Linked DNA regions of Saccharomyces cerevisiae S288C. The gene in region 3 interacts genetically with the main gene of each other region. Each region holds a gene or a part of one and is shown on either strand. Other genes may lie near its edges.

Region 1 (3,887 bases), on a different chromosome or scaffold from region 3:
CTTGACTTTTACTGCTACTACGATCATTCATATGTTCAGCTTCTCTGATATCTTGAAGTTCATAATTATCATCATCCTTACCAAAACGCAGATTCCTTTCATGTGTCTTTTCTGAACTATTATCAAGTTCGAATTCGAACGCGTCATTGCTTGCAGACTCATTTGACTCATTCAAAACCTCAGCCTCTTCACTAACTGAGGACGAATCATTGTCTTCATTAGGAAATGTAAACTGCTTGTTGGCACCTTCTGTGGCAGAACCACGGGAAAGCTGGTTATTATGGATTGGGCTACCGTGAGATCGAAAGCTTTCACTCTCTTGAAATCTTGAAGACGCTCTTATTGGTGTACAATTCGAAAAGTTATCAGGATGCAAGGACGTTTGACTGGCATTTCTAGACTCGGCCGCAACTTTATAGCCACCTAGTCCATCTTCTTGTACTCTCATGGCAAAATCTCTCAAACTGTTAGAGTCGTTCGATTCCTGTGGAAGCTGAAACGGGTCTACGTACCATGACCGACCAATTGCAGGTGGGGTAGCGCTTCTCACATTATATTTACTACTATGCATGCTACCAACAAAGGGATCTGAAGGCGGCTGTTGCAAGGTCTTTTCCATGAAGTCTTGCTGCGAGTCGCTAGAGTACAAATGATTTATTCCAGGTGAATAATCCTTCATTGTCGGTAAAAATTCAGAATCTCCTTCGAAATCTGGATCATTATCTTCCTCAGCTTCCTTTTTGCTTCTCCTATACACAATGCAAAGTATCACAGCCAGAACAATGATAATGACACCTACTGGTACCGCAACAGCCACACCAACAGTTACACTGGTGCTGTGACTCGAATCTGTGGGTAATTGACATTGCTGTTTAGAGCCTGTACATTCAGCAGATTTGCTATTTTTCGTGCTGGATGCTGAGGAAGAAGATGAATCGCTATCGTCTCTTCTAGTGAGCCTTGCATAAGCATAAGACGCATCAGAAACACTTACCGTTGAAGTCACAGATATTAAACTTTCATGCATATGGGTGTGGTACATCGCGAACTATATCTTTGTTAGAACTATGTGACGCTATATGAGTTCAACGAAAAACTATGAAAGGTAATGAAAGAATGAAAAGAAGAACCAGTGAAAAATTCGATATGGATAAAGACAAGGCCTGCTCCCCACAAAAGCTTCACCATGAGTTTGTTATTGATTATTAAAAGTTCTTATTGAGATAAAAAGAGAAAAAATACGGAAGAAACCTTGTCTTTTCGATGAACTTTCCTATTTGGGTGAGCAGTTTTCCTCTTCGAGCTGCAAAAAAGTTTATCGCTTCGCGAAAAAAAAAAAAAAAAAAATTTAAAGAATTTCAAAACGTGTCAGGGCTACTAAATAATTGAACGAGGTCTATGAAATAAAATGGGCTGAGAAAATTTCAAGAAAAAGGAAATAAGTAAGGGCTATTTAGGGTTAGTGGAATGGCTTTTATTATTTCCGCCGCGATGAACTTCCCTTTTATTGTGACATGATAGACATAAATATGACGAATGCCTACGAATTGGAGTCATCAGTAGATAGAACCATAATGAATAAGATAAAAACGCAGGTATTTAGGGTGACAAAGAGATAATATATCTTCAGCAAATGAGTGAGACCAGCTCAAGTCGCAGGAGCGCGAGTAAAGACGCTGTCAAATCTTACTTCGCAGGCAAATACAATAAAGTGTTGGATTCTATACTGGAGGCAGAAGCAGCAATATCAAAATCGCCAACTGTAGCAGAAGATCTATCAGGAAGCTCCTCCAGCGGAAATTCTGAGATGAGCCATCCTTCGCTAACCGCCTCCTCCGCAACAAGCCAAGGCATTAGCAAAAAGGAACTACTCCAACAAATTGCTGGTTCATTATTCAGTACGTCCATTGAGCGCCTGAAGACTGCCCACTCATCAGAAGTATCAAGTACTCCGGAATATTCAGTAAATGATTCGTATGGAGAGCAAGAGTGCAGGGAGTGCGATGGTGTTTTCAAGTGTTCAGCGCACTTTGAGGGCGCGCCCGAATATTATGACGATGAAACCGAATCAGGGCCAGCTCTAGAACCTATGACTTCCAATAGTGAAAAAGATCCTTTTATCGATGTATTTTTGGATAAACTAATATCGAGGTTGGTCCCTGAAAAGCTACCAGAAAGAGAGCATTTTAGTAGCAAAACCACCATTGAGCATGATCTAGACACAGGAAGGGTTCCCGTGTTTTCAGCAACTACATTGGGTAGTAATTTCAAAAAATTGTCTAAGAAAATGGGCTCAATATTTGAACTCCAGGACTCCATAGTTCGACTGCTGACTTGGAGAAACCCTACCGGGACGGTGACGTCGTTAATATTATTCACTTTGATATGTTTTAATCCAATGTACTTGGTAATTTTGCCTATATTCCGCTTTGTCTATGGTATTGTAGTTCCTGGCTATGTGCGTAAACATCCTTTACAAAGGAGTATATATCCTCTGAAACGGAATCACGGATCATCATTGTTATATGATGTGTGCTATGAGGGAAAAAATGAGTACAGCTACGGTCAACAGTTTTTCTCCAAATCTTTTATGGACACTTTGGAATCAAGAAATCAAGAAATAGACGAAATATCAGAATTAGATAAAAGAACCGAAAACACAGGGGAATTGAAACAAGGAATGAAAGTACTAATTAATTTACGCGATATGCAAAACATGACCTCTGGTACCCTTCATGTTATTGAGGCAATCAATAGTTTTCTTCGTAAGTCTTCTAGTTTTCAAAACGAAGAGTGCTCCACTAAACGTTTTTTTACAGGATTTCTTTTGATTGTTTTCTTAAAAATATTATCACCATTTGTGAATTGGAGCTATGTATGTAGCATATTCGCCTGGTGCTTACTGATATATATGCATCCAAGAGCTCATCCAAAAATAATAAGTTTTTTCAAAACAGGAACAATGGGAAAAGAATACAAAAACTTGAAAAAAAGAGAACACCAGGCGCTTAACATGATATTCGATGAACAACCGGAAACTAAATTCATCGAGATTTTTGAAATATATAAAAAGGCCTTACTGCCGAACGACTGGAAGTTTTTCCGATATTCAAATAGAATTTTCGATCCTCAAGATCCGTATAGAAGAGCACAGCAATTCCCACCGGGAGTAGATTCTTTGGCTGATGTTATTCCCCCCACAGGCTGGTCATTTGATCCTAATTTTGAGTGGAAAATTGACAATGATGTGGATAGGTGGGTGGTAGAACGTGGGTTGAATCTGCCAATTACCGGCGAATTCTTATTTGATCCAATGTTCAAGAGGAGGAGACTGATACATCGTGTTATTAAGAATGCAACACCAGTAGCATAATGCACAATTGTTTTCCTTCACCTACAACCCCACCCCTCTTCTTGGGGAAATCATTGTATTACGTACTTTTTTCCTAAAGATATTAGAAAAAAAAATGTTATGTATCAATATTACTAGGTAAAATACAAAAATGCGCTTTTGAAGTATAAATAATACAGTTTTGTTTTAAGAAATGCTATATATGAATTAATAATAAATGAAACGAAAAAAAGCACTACTTGAGTTTTAATGTCGTAAAACTTGAGAAAATTCTAAAGTGTCAGAAAAAAAGTGATTTTTAAGAAGGGACACCTTCTAGCTCGGATTTAGAGATTTTATTGATAACTCTTCTCCAATTTTTTCTATTATCATAAATGGGGACCCTCAATACACTCAAGTAAACGACAATACACAGTAGGGCAAAGGAACAGACTGACGCAGGGACCATCATTGTTACGAAATTTCTCCTAGAAATGACTTTTTCATATGGGCAACTAGCATAAGGACCACCACTTACCCAACAATTGCTTACTGA
Region 2 (4,919 bases), on a different chromosome or scaffold from region 3:
CACTCTGTTTTATATGTGTCATTATGTTATTACATTATCAATCCTTGCATTTCAGCTTCGTCTAACTTCCATGACAGTTTCTCATACCTTATGTCATCATCTAACACCGTACATGATAACATACTGGTAGTGTAACTACTAGTTGATAGATGATAGTTCATTTTCATTCCAACAATTGTCGTTAGAGATCGCTACATAATCAACCTTTGCACTTCAGCTTCCATTAAATCTGATTAATGCTTCTTAATCTTTAAGCCATCTTCTTGCACCATAAATAGCAATGAAACCATTTAGTCTTCTATTTTCCACTTAAAGAACCAGGTTTTTGCATTTCAGCCATCTTAAATTAGACGACGGTTTAATTTCGGTGTAGTATCATAAAATTTCGGCCATCCTTCGACTCACGTATAATGATGGCCTCAGCGAGAGGATCAGCAACAAGTTACATCCACAATAATACGCGGAGTTATGAGATATTACAGTACCCTCCCCAAAAATATAAGGTTTACCGCAAGATCGTATCAGGAGAATGAACGGGTCTCTTAGTTTTTATCCACTATTCTTTCCACTCACGCCAATATACTAACCAATTGAAATGCTCATAACCAGAATGAACAGGCCGCATGCATTCTTTAGCCAACTTTCGATGAAAATACCCACTATGCAATGGTAAATTTCCGAAACAAAAAATTATACTTCAGTGTTCCCACAAAATAACGATATGTTTCTTTTCATTTTTCAATGAAAGCATGATTTTTTCCCTTCCAATGCCAAAATGCTAGTCCTATAAATGAAAAAAAAAGCTTTCTGCTATAAGAACAGCAAGGGGCATTTCAACTTACACATAATAGAAGGTGAGATAAAGACCATCGTGAATCCTAATAGAAACTGCGGGTTTCTTAGGATCATGGGTCGCGCAAAACCGCCAAGTTTACCATCAAAAAGCTACAAAGTTCAATTTACCCAATAGAATTCTAACGCCAAAGATTTGTAGTGATTCATATGAAATTTTCTTTATGCATCCAGTTATTACTATTGAGTTTCTCTCAAGATACATTCTCCAAAAAAAAAGCCTGTTCTCGCACAAACGACCTTAAGAAAGGTTTAAAACAGCTGTCACATTACATTATAGTAGATAAAAACACGAATGGCATTTTCTTAACTTGCAGGTGTACTCTCTATAGCATGTTTAACATATTTTCACCTCTTTATTGCAAACACTTTGGCGTTTCATATTCTGTCCATGTATATGCACCACAATGATTTTATTTTCTTTTGTATGCATTTTGTGACGATTTGACAACTGATGCATCATTTCGTTCCATCTATTTCGCTGTTCATGGCTTCTGTCTCTTTCTCTGTCTTTTTTAGCCATCTCGCAACTAGCTGGGAATGTTCTTTTTTCAGATCCGAGAGTTTTTGTTGTAAAACATTATTTTCAATGGTTCCACTAATCAATTCGTCATTCAACCTTTCCGTATTCTTATTTTTCAACGCAATAACTTCTTTCAATCTTCGTATTTCTTGCTCCTTACTTTTCAGTTCTTTTTGTAGAATTGCCAGTGTATTCAATAAAGCATCGTCATGGCTGACAATGTTGCCACCAATGGCGCCACTATTATCTTGAAACAACTCATTTAAATGGGCCTCCTTGTCGTTTCGATCTGTTAGTCTACGAATTAACAAATCATCCATGCTATCTGTTTGTGGATTGCTTCTTTCCTCCTTTGCTTTCTTCCTTTCTGTTATAATGAAATTGCCCATGGAATATGCGCCCTTAATACAGATTCGCGCAGGTTAATAACAAAAATCAACGTTAAATAAAGGTCAACTACAAACAGAATAAGTAAAAGCGAGCAAGTGTAGTAGCAATTTAGCACAACATATAAAACGCTATTATAATGGATGTTGTGCAGCAGAAACAGGATAAACAGTTGCAGCATCAAACACAAGAGCAGCAGCAGATACGAGAGGACCAGCAGGAAGTCCCACCCCAACGTCCACGACAACAAAACAGATGGAAACCCTGGTGGAATTCCACTGCCGACGATGAGCCAAACACGGGAAGAATTGCAGAATATCCTAATGGACAAGGAAGGAGTAGTCCGACAACGGATTTTCAAGATAGCGTGAACTCGAATAATGACAATAAAGGGATATGGTCTAAAATCGCTTCTTTTGCAACATCCAGATATAGAAGTGCCCCAATTGTTGTTGATGATAATACCCGCTACTCTCAACTAAACACTGAACAAATCAACTTCTTGGAAAATGAGGCTAAGGATATAATTTCAAAAAAGTCGAAATCATGGTGTTGGTACGAAGCAATTCCACATATATCAAATTCATCAAACATAATTGATTCCATAGATACCCCAGGAATAATCAGTGTCTCTGGTACAGGATCAGCCAAATGCCCATTGCCATTAAACAAATATCCTGGGGAGGGAGGTAACCCTGGGTATAATGTATTTATTAATGATTCTTTAATCCTACCATCAGATAACCCTTTGAATTTTCTGCACGTCCAACCACTAAGAACTAAGGTATTGAATACTATCAAAAATTACTATAACTTCCCTAATGAGCAACATCTCTATTTAAGACAAAAAAAAACCGCATTACTGAAGGATAAGAGAATTATTATAATATCCGTCGTGGGGGATTTACCAGAAAAGTATGAGCAGCGCTCATTAGAATCACAAAGATCGGCTTATTATCTTTCTAGAAAATTGTCACAAAATCTAGCGCAAGAACAACCTCAAAGAGTCTTGACCCTATCGTTCCAGTGCCCACTGCATAATCAAGATTTAATACCTACATATAAAGAATGTGTAGAGTTACTGAACCACTGGGCTCATCTTTTCAAAGAGGTAGATTCAATTTTTTTTGTGGGCGTTTATCACAGCGTTCCCTTAACTTTGCTATTAGCGAAATATATCGTGCAAAATAATGAAGTTCTAGAGTTTGATGAAAACACTACAGTGAGTGTATTGAGTTTCCAGTCATGTTTACAAGGCTATCGATTTTGGGACCACAGCACTGACTTTACTAGCAATAGTTATAATAACTTGGGTTCCAATTCCAGTACTAACGAAAATGATAGTAATGATCATGATTCAAATAATGATTTCACAACGAAGAGCCAACAAATCAAAGAAAAACAGTTATTTCAGGGCATTGACAAAAAGCAACAAGACACATTATCTAAAATCAAAAATTATAGGCGGATAGATTCTAGTGAATCTAAACTAGTTCAGGATGCATTGGATTGGCTCTTGTTCAATTGGGATACGTTTCGACTGACATTTTTTGGTAAGCTTTATGATAATTTTATGACAATTTCAGAAAAACTTGCTATAGATTATAATCACCCTAAAATCTTGAGAAATTTATGGTGCAATGGGAAGTACATGGGCATTGATTTAAAGAATGCTAATAATTTAAACCTTGATACCGATGATGAAGCAACTAGTAACATTAATGACGTCCATGTAAGGACCCCTAATTTTGAATCGAGATTGAAGATTCCCACCAACAGACTTTTCGAAATAACCTTATGGGATATTTTGATGATAACGGAGAATTTAGGATATAAACAATTTATTCCCATAATTAATTTACTAAGTCCTTTTTTTATTTCAAGGTCATTTAATGATTACACATTGCCTCCAAATATTAGGAAACAGTACCAGAACAGCAACAAAATCTGGCTTCAAGAAATGGACAGTAAGTGGAAAATGAATGGTCATCAACTCAATTACGACCAAAGGGAGGGTGAAAGTCTCGGTTCATCATCGGAATCATTATTGCCAGAGAATATTTCTACGGTAAAGGATTTTTTGCAGTTTGTGCAGTATCAAAACGAAAAATCTTCGGATTTCGTAAGGATATATTCAGACATTTATGATGACGATAAAGTCTATAAATGCTTTCTGTACAATACAATATTCACGAAAAACCCATTAAGTCGTAAGCATTTACGTTTAAACATCGACCTCGACACTCCTACAAGCATATTGAATACTGTCAATCAATATGATTTGGTATGGAAAATTCATGATTCCTTCTCCAAATTGATTCAATTGAAAAATTTACCGCAGCGAGAGATACCACATGCGTTGAGGCTCTCCATCTCATTAAACTGCTTCTTGGATAGTACCACGAGTACTTCTGGCCCTGTTTTTCAGAGGGACACCGTGGAAGCTTTGAGAAGATTAACAGAGATTTGGCGAACTTACCAGGATTGGTCTCCACCAACAAGGGGTTTGAAACACCTACGTGATATCCTGAGCGTTTTAGCCATGTATGACAACCCCAAAAACTTGATTAATGATGTTCGACGTACATAGTAGATTCGTATATAGCGGACCGCGTAACATATTATGGTATTTGTATAGTGGGTAACCCGCAGAGTAGGCTGGAAAGTATTCGTGAAGAACATAAAGGAAGCTGGCAGAAGTTCTTTTCATACACCTCTACTTCCAGAAGCCATAATAGCAGCAACGCTGTTTCTGCAATATAACTTGTGGAAGGTCTATAATAGGAAGAACATGTCTTTCACTGAGGATCAAGAAAAAATCGCGCTAGAAATACTGTCAAAAGACAAGCATGAGTTTTACGAAATTTTGAAGGTAGATAGGAAAGCCACAGATAGTGAGATCAAGAAGGCATACAGAAAACTAGCAATCAAATTGCATCCTGATAAAAACTCTCATCCAAAAGCGGGAGAAGCTTTCAAAGTAATTAATAGGGCATTTGAAGTACTAAGCAATGAGGAAAAGCGCAGTATTTATGACAGGATAGGTAGGGATCCTGACGATAGACAAATGCCATCCAGAGGTGCTGCTTCAGGGTTCCGAGGAAGTGCAGGTGGGTCTCCAATGGGTGGCGGATTTGAAGACATGTTTTTCAATTCA
Region 3 (4,114 bases):
AATTGGCTGGACCACGCATGGTCACAGCGCAGTCGACGTCAACATATATGCATACGCCAATAAGAAAGCTACATGGTCATATGTCTTGAACAATTTACAAGGCAATCACGAAAATACGGAAGTTGGCCAGTTCTTAGAAAACTTTTTAGAATTGAACCTGAACGAAGTCACTGATTTGATTAGGGACACCAAACACACATCAGATTTTGATGCTACAGAAATAGCTAGTGAAGTACAACATTATGACGAATACTACCATGAGTTGACCAACTGATCCTATCTAACTCTCCCTCTTTTTTCACATATTATTTAATACGTTATAATTTATTTGAATATATATATATATATATATATGTATATATACTAACCGCATGACACGTACTGTATCGCATTTCGTTTCGGAGTGCAGGCGAGTTTTAGGTGCATTCTATAGCGTGAAGAAGTGAAATCTCGTCATTTCTTCAAGTTATGCCATTCAGTCCAGATTGTTTCACATGCTTTCATATAGTCATTTTTGTCGTCGCGAACTTCAAATTTGAAAACATCATCATACAGAGAGATTTCTCCAATAATGATCCTTTCTTTGTCGTTGTCATCATCGGCATCGTCGTTAAGTGAAGCGCCCTCACTTAATGAATTTTTCGTGACAGAGCATTCAATGTCTTCATCAGTCTTACTTATGATTGGGTCTCCGTTGTGGTGTTTGGAGACAAAGGTTCTTTTTCTCGATGTCAAATCTTCCAAGTGTGGTGATCTACCAGCCAACTTCTTCCTCTTTGCATGGTAGTCGGCTGGTATTATACCATTATTATACAAGGGGCCGGGATACATCGGGGAATAATAGCCTTCGTATGCGTGCGTTTGTGTTGGAGTTGAAGAATATGGGTAGCATGGTACTGGTGGCAGTCCAGTATATGGATAAGGGTAGGTTGCTGTCATATATGAATTGGCCACTGAAGGATGATAATCTTGATTCGTAGGAGCCATCCTACCCATATATCTGACCCTAAGGCTATTTTTGTGCTGCGGAAATCTTGTTATGTTTGGTGGAGCACTTTTAGATCCATGCAAATGAGAAGATGCTTGTATATCGGAAAAATTTAGCGCTGGAGGTACCCTTTTCCTCTTTAAAGAATGATTCAGCGACTTAAAGGGTACGGTTTTCTCTGCTGGAGAAGTCGTAATGGTAGGAGGCTTACCACTATGATCTTCCTCTTTTTGCGACAGCCTAGATATGAGCAATTTTTGATTTTTTTCGATATCCCTGGATTTTTTGATCTTCGAAATCATTTTCTCACTCAATCTGTCTTCATCAAGCCCTGGAGATACTAACAGCATTCCCAGTTGCTGCAAATTCCTGGGATCATTTTCCTGAACAGTTGATATTTGCTCTTGCTGTGGGTCTTCTTGCTCTTCTTTATTCATAATTTTCCCTCTTTGCTTAAATATTCCTGCAGGCTTAACTATACCACATAAATACCACTGCAAGCAATAGAAATGAAAAATAACATTAATAACCAAAATTTAAATGGCTGTATGTTTATTGTTTATTTGATCTGCACATTATGTAATTATTGATAATTTAATAGACGTGTCCGCCGGGTGATGAAGCTGTGACATATCACAATTTTATGTGTACCTGTTGTATGTATACGCTCTAATGTCCGATATCATCATACGTGCATCACTTTGTAGCCTTCTAGGATGGCGTCTAGGTGAATACCGCCGTAGTGTTTAGGAAACTAATGTTATGGGTGGTTGTTGTTTCACTATCCAGTAATACTTTTGTGGTGAACTTAAGAAGCTTAGGGGTTACCCCTTCTTCTTGAACTAATTTTAAGAAATAACAACGAGGAATAGTGTGTATTTTTAATTACTGATCAGGCCGCATGAATATACTCACCTGTATACGTAGCAAAATTTCAGTCTCCTACTGTATATACGTCTAGATGGACTCGGTGACAAATTTTTTCTGGAATGACACCTATAATGCTGGTACTCCAACTAGATCAACTCTCAAGGGGAAGAAAGTGCAAAATGGCATAGATGGAAAAAGTCAGGCAAAGAAAGAGAGCATATCTAGTGGTTCTAGAACTAGTGATCCTACACGTGGTAGTCTGCCATCTTCCAGTGGACAGCCAACTAGTGGTGGCGGTTTTCCCTCGACATCAAACATCCAAAAGATGATGGCAGATACCCTGGTAGAGAAGATAATCAAAATGGCATTACCACCATCTTCCAAAACGGCTGTTGATACAATTCACCATCGTATGGTTGCTGGTAAAGAAAGGCCTAAGCTGTCTGTGCAGATCACGAGTAGGAATTTTATACAGATGAACTCGAGACTAGGGGTACCATTCATGATTATGGATGAATTAATAAAGATATTAAACTGGACTAACCCAGCGTATACAGTATCTATCATGTTCTTATACACGCTCATTATATTGAAACCTTTTCAAATGCTTTCTTCGCTCCCTATATTCTATTTGTTATTCTGCGTAATGGTCCCGCAATACCTTTACATTCATAAGCCAAACCCTACAAGCTATCTAGATAATAATCAAACACCAGCACAAGGCCCACCTTTGCGAAGACCTGAGGTTCCTAAACCAGTCCCTGAACTGAGCCAAGAATTTGTCTTAAACCTCACGGATTTACAAAACCATATGCTGCTATATGTTAAATTCTACGATTTTACTTTACTCATATTACAAAAGTTTGCATTCTTCACCAACGAGGCTATTTCGTCGTTTTATTTTATTGTATTGTTAATAATAGCAACATTAAATTTTCTGTACATGGATAAATTTATCAAGCTCATTCCAATGAGACCCGTACTGATACTGCTAGGTTGGGGTTTTTTTATTGCCTCGCATCCGTCCAATCGTGAATATTTGTTGACTAAATTGAATTCGGAGGAGACAAGATTAAAAACTTTGACTATAAGTACTAATCTGGAATCTAAGATTTTGCAGCATTTGAAACTCATTGAGGCTAGGGAGCACCGACTTGTTATGATCTTTGAGATCCAAAAGTATCTTCCTGAATACAAAGAATGGCGCCCAGTTGGATTCTCTGATGACGATTATTCTCTTTTCTCTAGTTTGAGAATATACCAGAGGCGTATTGAGGAAAATTCAGTGAAGTCATTAGAAGAAATTGAGCCACCTAAGGATTGGGAATGGGAAGCCAATTCTCATTGGGTGCTTGATTTGGATCCAAAAGAATGGGTAGAGGACGAATTTATTCAGTATGTCGAGATAGATTCAGAAACAAAATGGGTCTATGACCTCAATCTTGATGGACAAAGGGGCTCATATAGAAGGCGAATGTGGACCAACAGTTGCGTGCGGAAAAAACTGGATTCTGGTATTTCTTCAAACCTTGGTGAGGAGGAAGTAGTTAATCCATTGAGGGAAGAAACATATAGGCAAGGCGTACATGGCGTGACGAAGGGTTCAATGAGTGGCGGTCTAACTCACAGTAGTGATGATGACCGCGCTGATGAGGAAAGTATAAACGGTACTATTCCTAATCTCAACAATATCGACGCGGATGCATCTTATCCGTCAATCGAAGAGCTAACAGACACTCTCAATTCAACTATATAAACTTGATTTGTTATACTATATGTTCACTGATGATACAGTCAACTTTTCATAAAACTTTCTAATGACAGTGACGAACTTTTCTTCTTTTCCATTTTTTTCTCTTGATTTCTTTTCGATAAAAGGTTTGTAAGTGAGTTCAACTTTCTCTTCTTGGATCTCTCCTTACCAGTACTAGTTTTACTCTTTTGGGGCTTCTTTACCGCGTACGAAACCTTCCCGCTGCTGGTACTATTGATCATCGGACTAACATCTTGTCCAAATGTTGGAACAACGAACTCAGATTTCCACTCAAACAATTTAGACTTTTCACAATTCAAGCAATTAACCTGGATACATTTTTTTGGTCCTTCCATACTCTCGCCGCCAAGTTCGTCGGAGTCACCTTGCTCGGTATTAGTCGTTAACTGAAGACTTGCGTTAAAATTAGGAACGTAAACACACCCGCAATGGGAGCAAAATTTCCCACTTTTCAGTTGTTCTGGCAGCATGATTTGATATCG
Region 4 (3,493 bases), on a different chromosome or scaffold from region 3:
TTAAAGATGCGGGGAAGAATTCAATATAACTCGAAGGGTTTCCTAACACAGTGAAAAACTCCTCAGTGAGCCAAAAGCCGTTTATTCTATGAGTTTCCAAAAATTTAACAAAATCATCCTTTGTGGACATCTCATATTTATAGAATTCTACCCTTTCTGCCAGTTTGCGATATTCAGGAAGATGACTGGCGACTTCCCATTGGGTTTTATAAGGCACCAAAATTCTTGGTTTGGCAGAATAAGTTACATCTGCTATGTCAATTGAAGTAATCATTGTTATTTAAAGGTTGCTACTTTTGTACACTCAAGTATTTTTCTGTATTTGAGAGAGAGCTATTTGTACTCCACACTCCACCTTTTAGATCTGCGTCAAAGTGTCAGAATAAACATACCGTAAAACGGAATGACTACCGCCACCCCAATGACATAAAAACGGAAGAAAAAGAGCAAAAACCGAGCGCCAAACTATCTTATTCAACGAATCAAATAACAATACAAATGCAGAGGTAAAACATTATTCGCCACATATATATGTACATATCTATATGTATACATATTTTTATATATCAATCTTTTGAAGAGCAAAGTGACCTCTTTGTTGTTATCCAAAGTTTAACCAGTCCAGTTAAGCCGGATCCCAGGGACAGAACGGCATACGTTCCCTTTGGAGTTTTTAAATTTAGAATATCTGATGTATTAGCCATGCAATCAAACGATAATCTTGCAATATCTAAATAAACAAGTGTCTTTTCATCCTTGATGGCCTTTAGTTGTTTGTGTATTAACACCTCTGCGTCGTTATTAACATTTAGGTCATTTAACAACTGTTTCCTAATTGGCGATTGTGAGCCATCGTCTTTATGGGCCTGATGCATCAGTATGGGTGAGAGTAGTAACGCGTTATTTTGAACTTTTAGTTGCACTTCCAATTCTAATTGTCTCTTCTGTAAGCTTTGCAGGTTGAGCCAATGGTCCTTCAAGCTTAAAAGAATGTCGTATTGCCATGCAAGAGACTCTTGTCTACTGACAAAGGAATAGAATGATTTATTTGTCCATATTTTCAATTTGTATAGCAAGTCTAATTCATCAAAGATACCATAATACAAGTCCAAAAATTCTCTCAATGAAGCTTCATTAAACCATATTTTCTTAATTTGGTCAATTTGAAAGTTGCACTTTCTGGTTTTATTGAATTTCCCCAAGAAACTGCACACTCGGAATGGTGTGCCGCCAAACCTTAAAATATATCTAAAAGTACTTAATTGTTGACTGATAAAATCAATTTTCTTGTCAAAATTTCTCAAAAGAGACAGGAGAAGTACTTTAATTACCGTGATTGGATGCCTTAGTGCGACTTTTACAGTCAGATTTTTCAAAATCTTGGTATAGTACGTTAATACGGAAGGGTCCAAAACAGTTAAATTTCGCTTAGACTTTTCGATAAACAGTTTTAATATATCCAGAGCGTATTTGATAATTTTGGCTAATTTGTCTCTACCAGATAGAGAATCCAATATATATTTTAAGATGGTAATATTATCCACCATCTTTGTTTTTGCTTGAGAATCCTCATCATCACTTCTCGAGGATTCAGTATGCGACTCGCTTCCACTGCCTGCACTGAACTTCTCTGCACCGGCGTCTGATGAATGTGGATGGGTATTGTCATCCTGGGCGTCCTGGTAACTTGCCCCAGAATAAGGTGGTGTTTCTGAACCGGAAACGATATCTGTCGTGCCAAACTGACTCATTGTTTTACGACCAGTTTCTATAGGTGAAGACTTACAGGGAAGTTGAGGATATCGACTCTATTTGTTACTTTCTCCAGCATACAAATTACCGATGATTCTGAGAAGAAAGAAGAAAAACGTATTTCAAAAATTATATAACCTGAAATAATAAGCCCAATCCCACCGGAATTTCATATACTATCACCGACCTGGAAAAAAAATGAAGAGTAAAAAGAAAAAAATAAATTTAGCGCCGCTCGGTTTCGATCCGAGGACATCAGGGTTATGAGCCCTGCGCGCTTCCACTGCGCCACGGCGCTGCTAAATCATGTGAGTTTAGCGCGTACCGAGCAAATTCACCAAAATATTTACATCCAATTTGCTCCCCTCACTCTTCCCCGATGTCGGTTGTGATTACTGCTACGCATGGCGACTCTTAATTTCTTTCAGGTATAGTAACATTTACTCCTTTAAGTAATTGTCTATTTTTCCTCGACACTGTATGTAGTTACCTTTCAAGGAAGCTATTCCAATACCATCGTGAGAAAAACTCTATTGGATACTTCATCTAGCTCGTATATATGCTTTTTAAACTTTATACCAAACCGTGTAGGCAAAACTGGACCGCCCGGTAAGTTCTGCTATTAACAAATTAAATAAAATTGGCCAAACTGAGGATTGACAGTTCTGAATATCCAAGATTACTGACTTCAATTTTCTCACTTCTCATCATAATATTCCGCTGATTTTTACATACCGTATATCCAATTTACGGCCCTTCACATATAGCGGCGAAATGATGGTAAAGCTACGCATACTGTCTGACAGGACCCTATTCTAGCAACCTTACATGAAACAAAAACAAACAACATCACATCATACGGATGAACTACGGGTGCAATCCCTGACTCATCAATGTTTATCATAAACTTAGATATCAACACTGATAAACCCCACCTCTATTTTTACTGGTTCTTCACTTTTTCGATGCCGCACCGTCGCCCGCGATCCCCGCCCTTTGATTGCTCCTTCCATTAACAGTTTTTTTCTATCCCTTACAAGAAGCCGAGACGCCGCGAAAATATCGGCTAGTGCGAATAGTCTCTAGCTCTTGCCCTTCGCAAAGCACCGTGCTGCTAATGGCAATCAACAGCGCATCGCCGCTCGCTGAATTTTTCACTTAGCGGTAGCCGCCGAGGGGTCTAAAGAGTATATAAGCAGAGCTTGCGGCCCACTTTCTATCAAGATCTAAGACTGTTTCTCTTCTCTTGGTCTGTATATGTTTTCTCAAAGTTAGCAGAAACAACAACAACAACTATATCAATAACAATAACTACTATCAAGATGGAAACAGGACCTCATTACAACTACTACAAAAATCGCGAATTGTCCATCGTTCTGGCTCCATTCAGCGGCGGTCAGGGTAAGCTTGGTGTCGAGAAGGGCCCTAAATACATGCTTAAGCATGGTCTGCAAACAAGCATAGAGGATTTGGGCTGGTCTACGGAATTAGAGCCCTCAATGGACGAGGCCCAATTTGTGGGAAAGTTGAAAATGGAGAAGGACTCCACAACTGGGGGTTCCTCTGTTATGATAGACGGTGTCAAGGCTAAAAGAGCAGATTTGGTTGGTGAAGCCACCAAGTTGGTGTACAACTCCGTGTCGAAAGTGGTCCAGGCGAACAGATTCCCCTTGACCTTGGGTGGTGATCATTCAATAGCCATTGGTACTGTATCCGCGGTTTTGGACAAATACCCCGATGC

The links.
Region 1: of PEX29 (region 3) and PEX28, changing one enhances a phenotype caused by changing the other (phenotypic enhancement), as found in Saccharomyces cerevisiae (one study listed by BioGRID).
Region 2: mutations in PEX29 (region 3) and CVM1 together harm fitness more than expected from each alone (negative genetic interaction), as found in Saccharomyces cerevisiae (2 studies listed by BioGRID).
Region 4: of PEX29 (region 3) and PEX25, extra expression of one rescues a mutant of the other (dosage rescue), as found in Saccharomyces cerevisiae (one study listed by BioGRID).

What each region holds. Positions count from the first base shown.
Region 1 is NC_001140.6:395,618-399,504, forward strand, and holds PEX28 (Pex28p), read left to right. Parts: upstream 1-1,633; coding exon 1,634-3,373; downstream 3,374-3,887. Other genes in the region: SKG6 (Skg6p), read right to left, coding at 1-1,042; MTC6 (Mtc6p), read right to left, coding at 3,651-3,887. UniProt on the Saccharomyces cerevisiae protein: Involved in the regulation of peroxisome number, size and distribution.
Region 2 is NC_001145.3:573,165-578,083, forward strand, and holds CVM1 (Cvm1p), read left to right. Parts: upstream 1-1,901; coding exon 1,902-4,352; downstream 4,353-4,919. Other genes in the region: YMR158C-A (uncharacterized protein), read right to left, coding at 30-167; ATG16 (Atg16p), read right to left, coding at 1,312-1,764; type I HSP40 co-chaperone HLJ1, read left to right, coding at 4,554-4,919.
Region 3 is NC_001136.10:1,414,710-1,418,823, reverse strand, and holds PEX29 (Pex29p), read left to right. Parts: upstream 1-1,949; coding exon 1,950-3,614; downstream 3,615-4,114. Other genes in the region: alkaline phosphatase PHO8, read left to right, coding at 1-274; DIG2 (Dig2p), read right to left, coding at 454-1,425; SNM1 (Snm1p), read right to left, coding at 3,653-4,114. UniProt on the Saccharomyces cerevisiae protein: Involved in the regulation of peroxisome number, size and distribution.
Region 4 is NC_001148.4:336,870-340,362, forward strand, and holds PEX25 (Pex25p), read right to left. Parts: upstream 1,752-3,493; coding exon 567-1,751; downstream 1-566. Other genes in the region: YPL113C (glyoxylate reductase), read right to left, coding at 1-274; CAR1 (arginase), read left to right, coding at 3,075-3,493. UniProt on the Saccharomyces cerevisiae protein: Required for regulation of peroxisome size and maintenance. Has a role in the import of peroxisomal matrix proteins. Imports RHO1 into the peroxisome. Also promotes peroxisome division and biogenesis.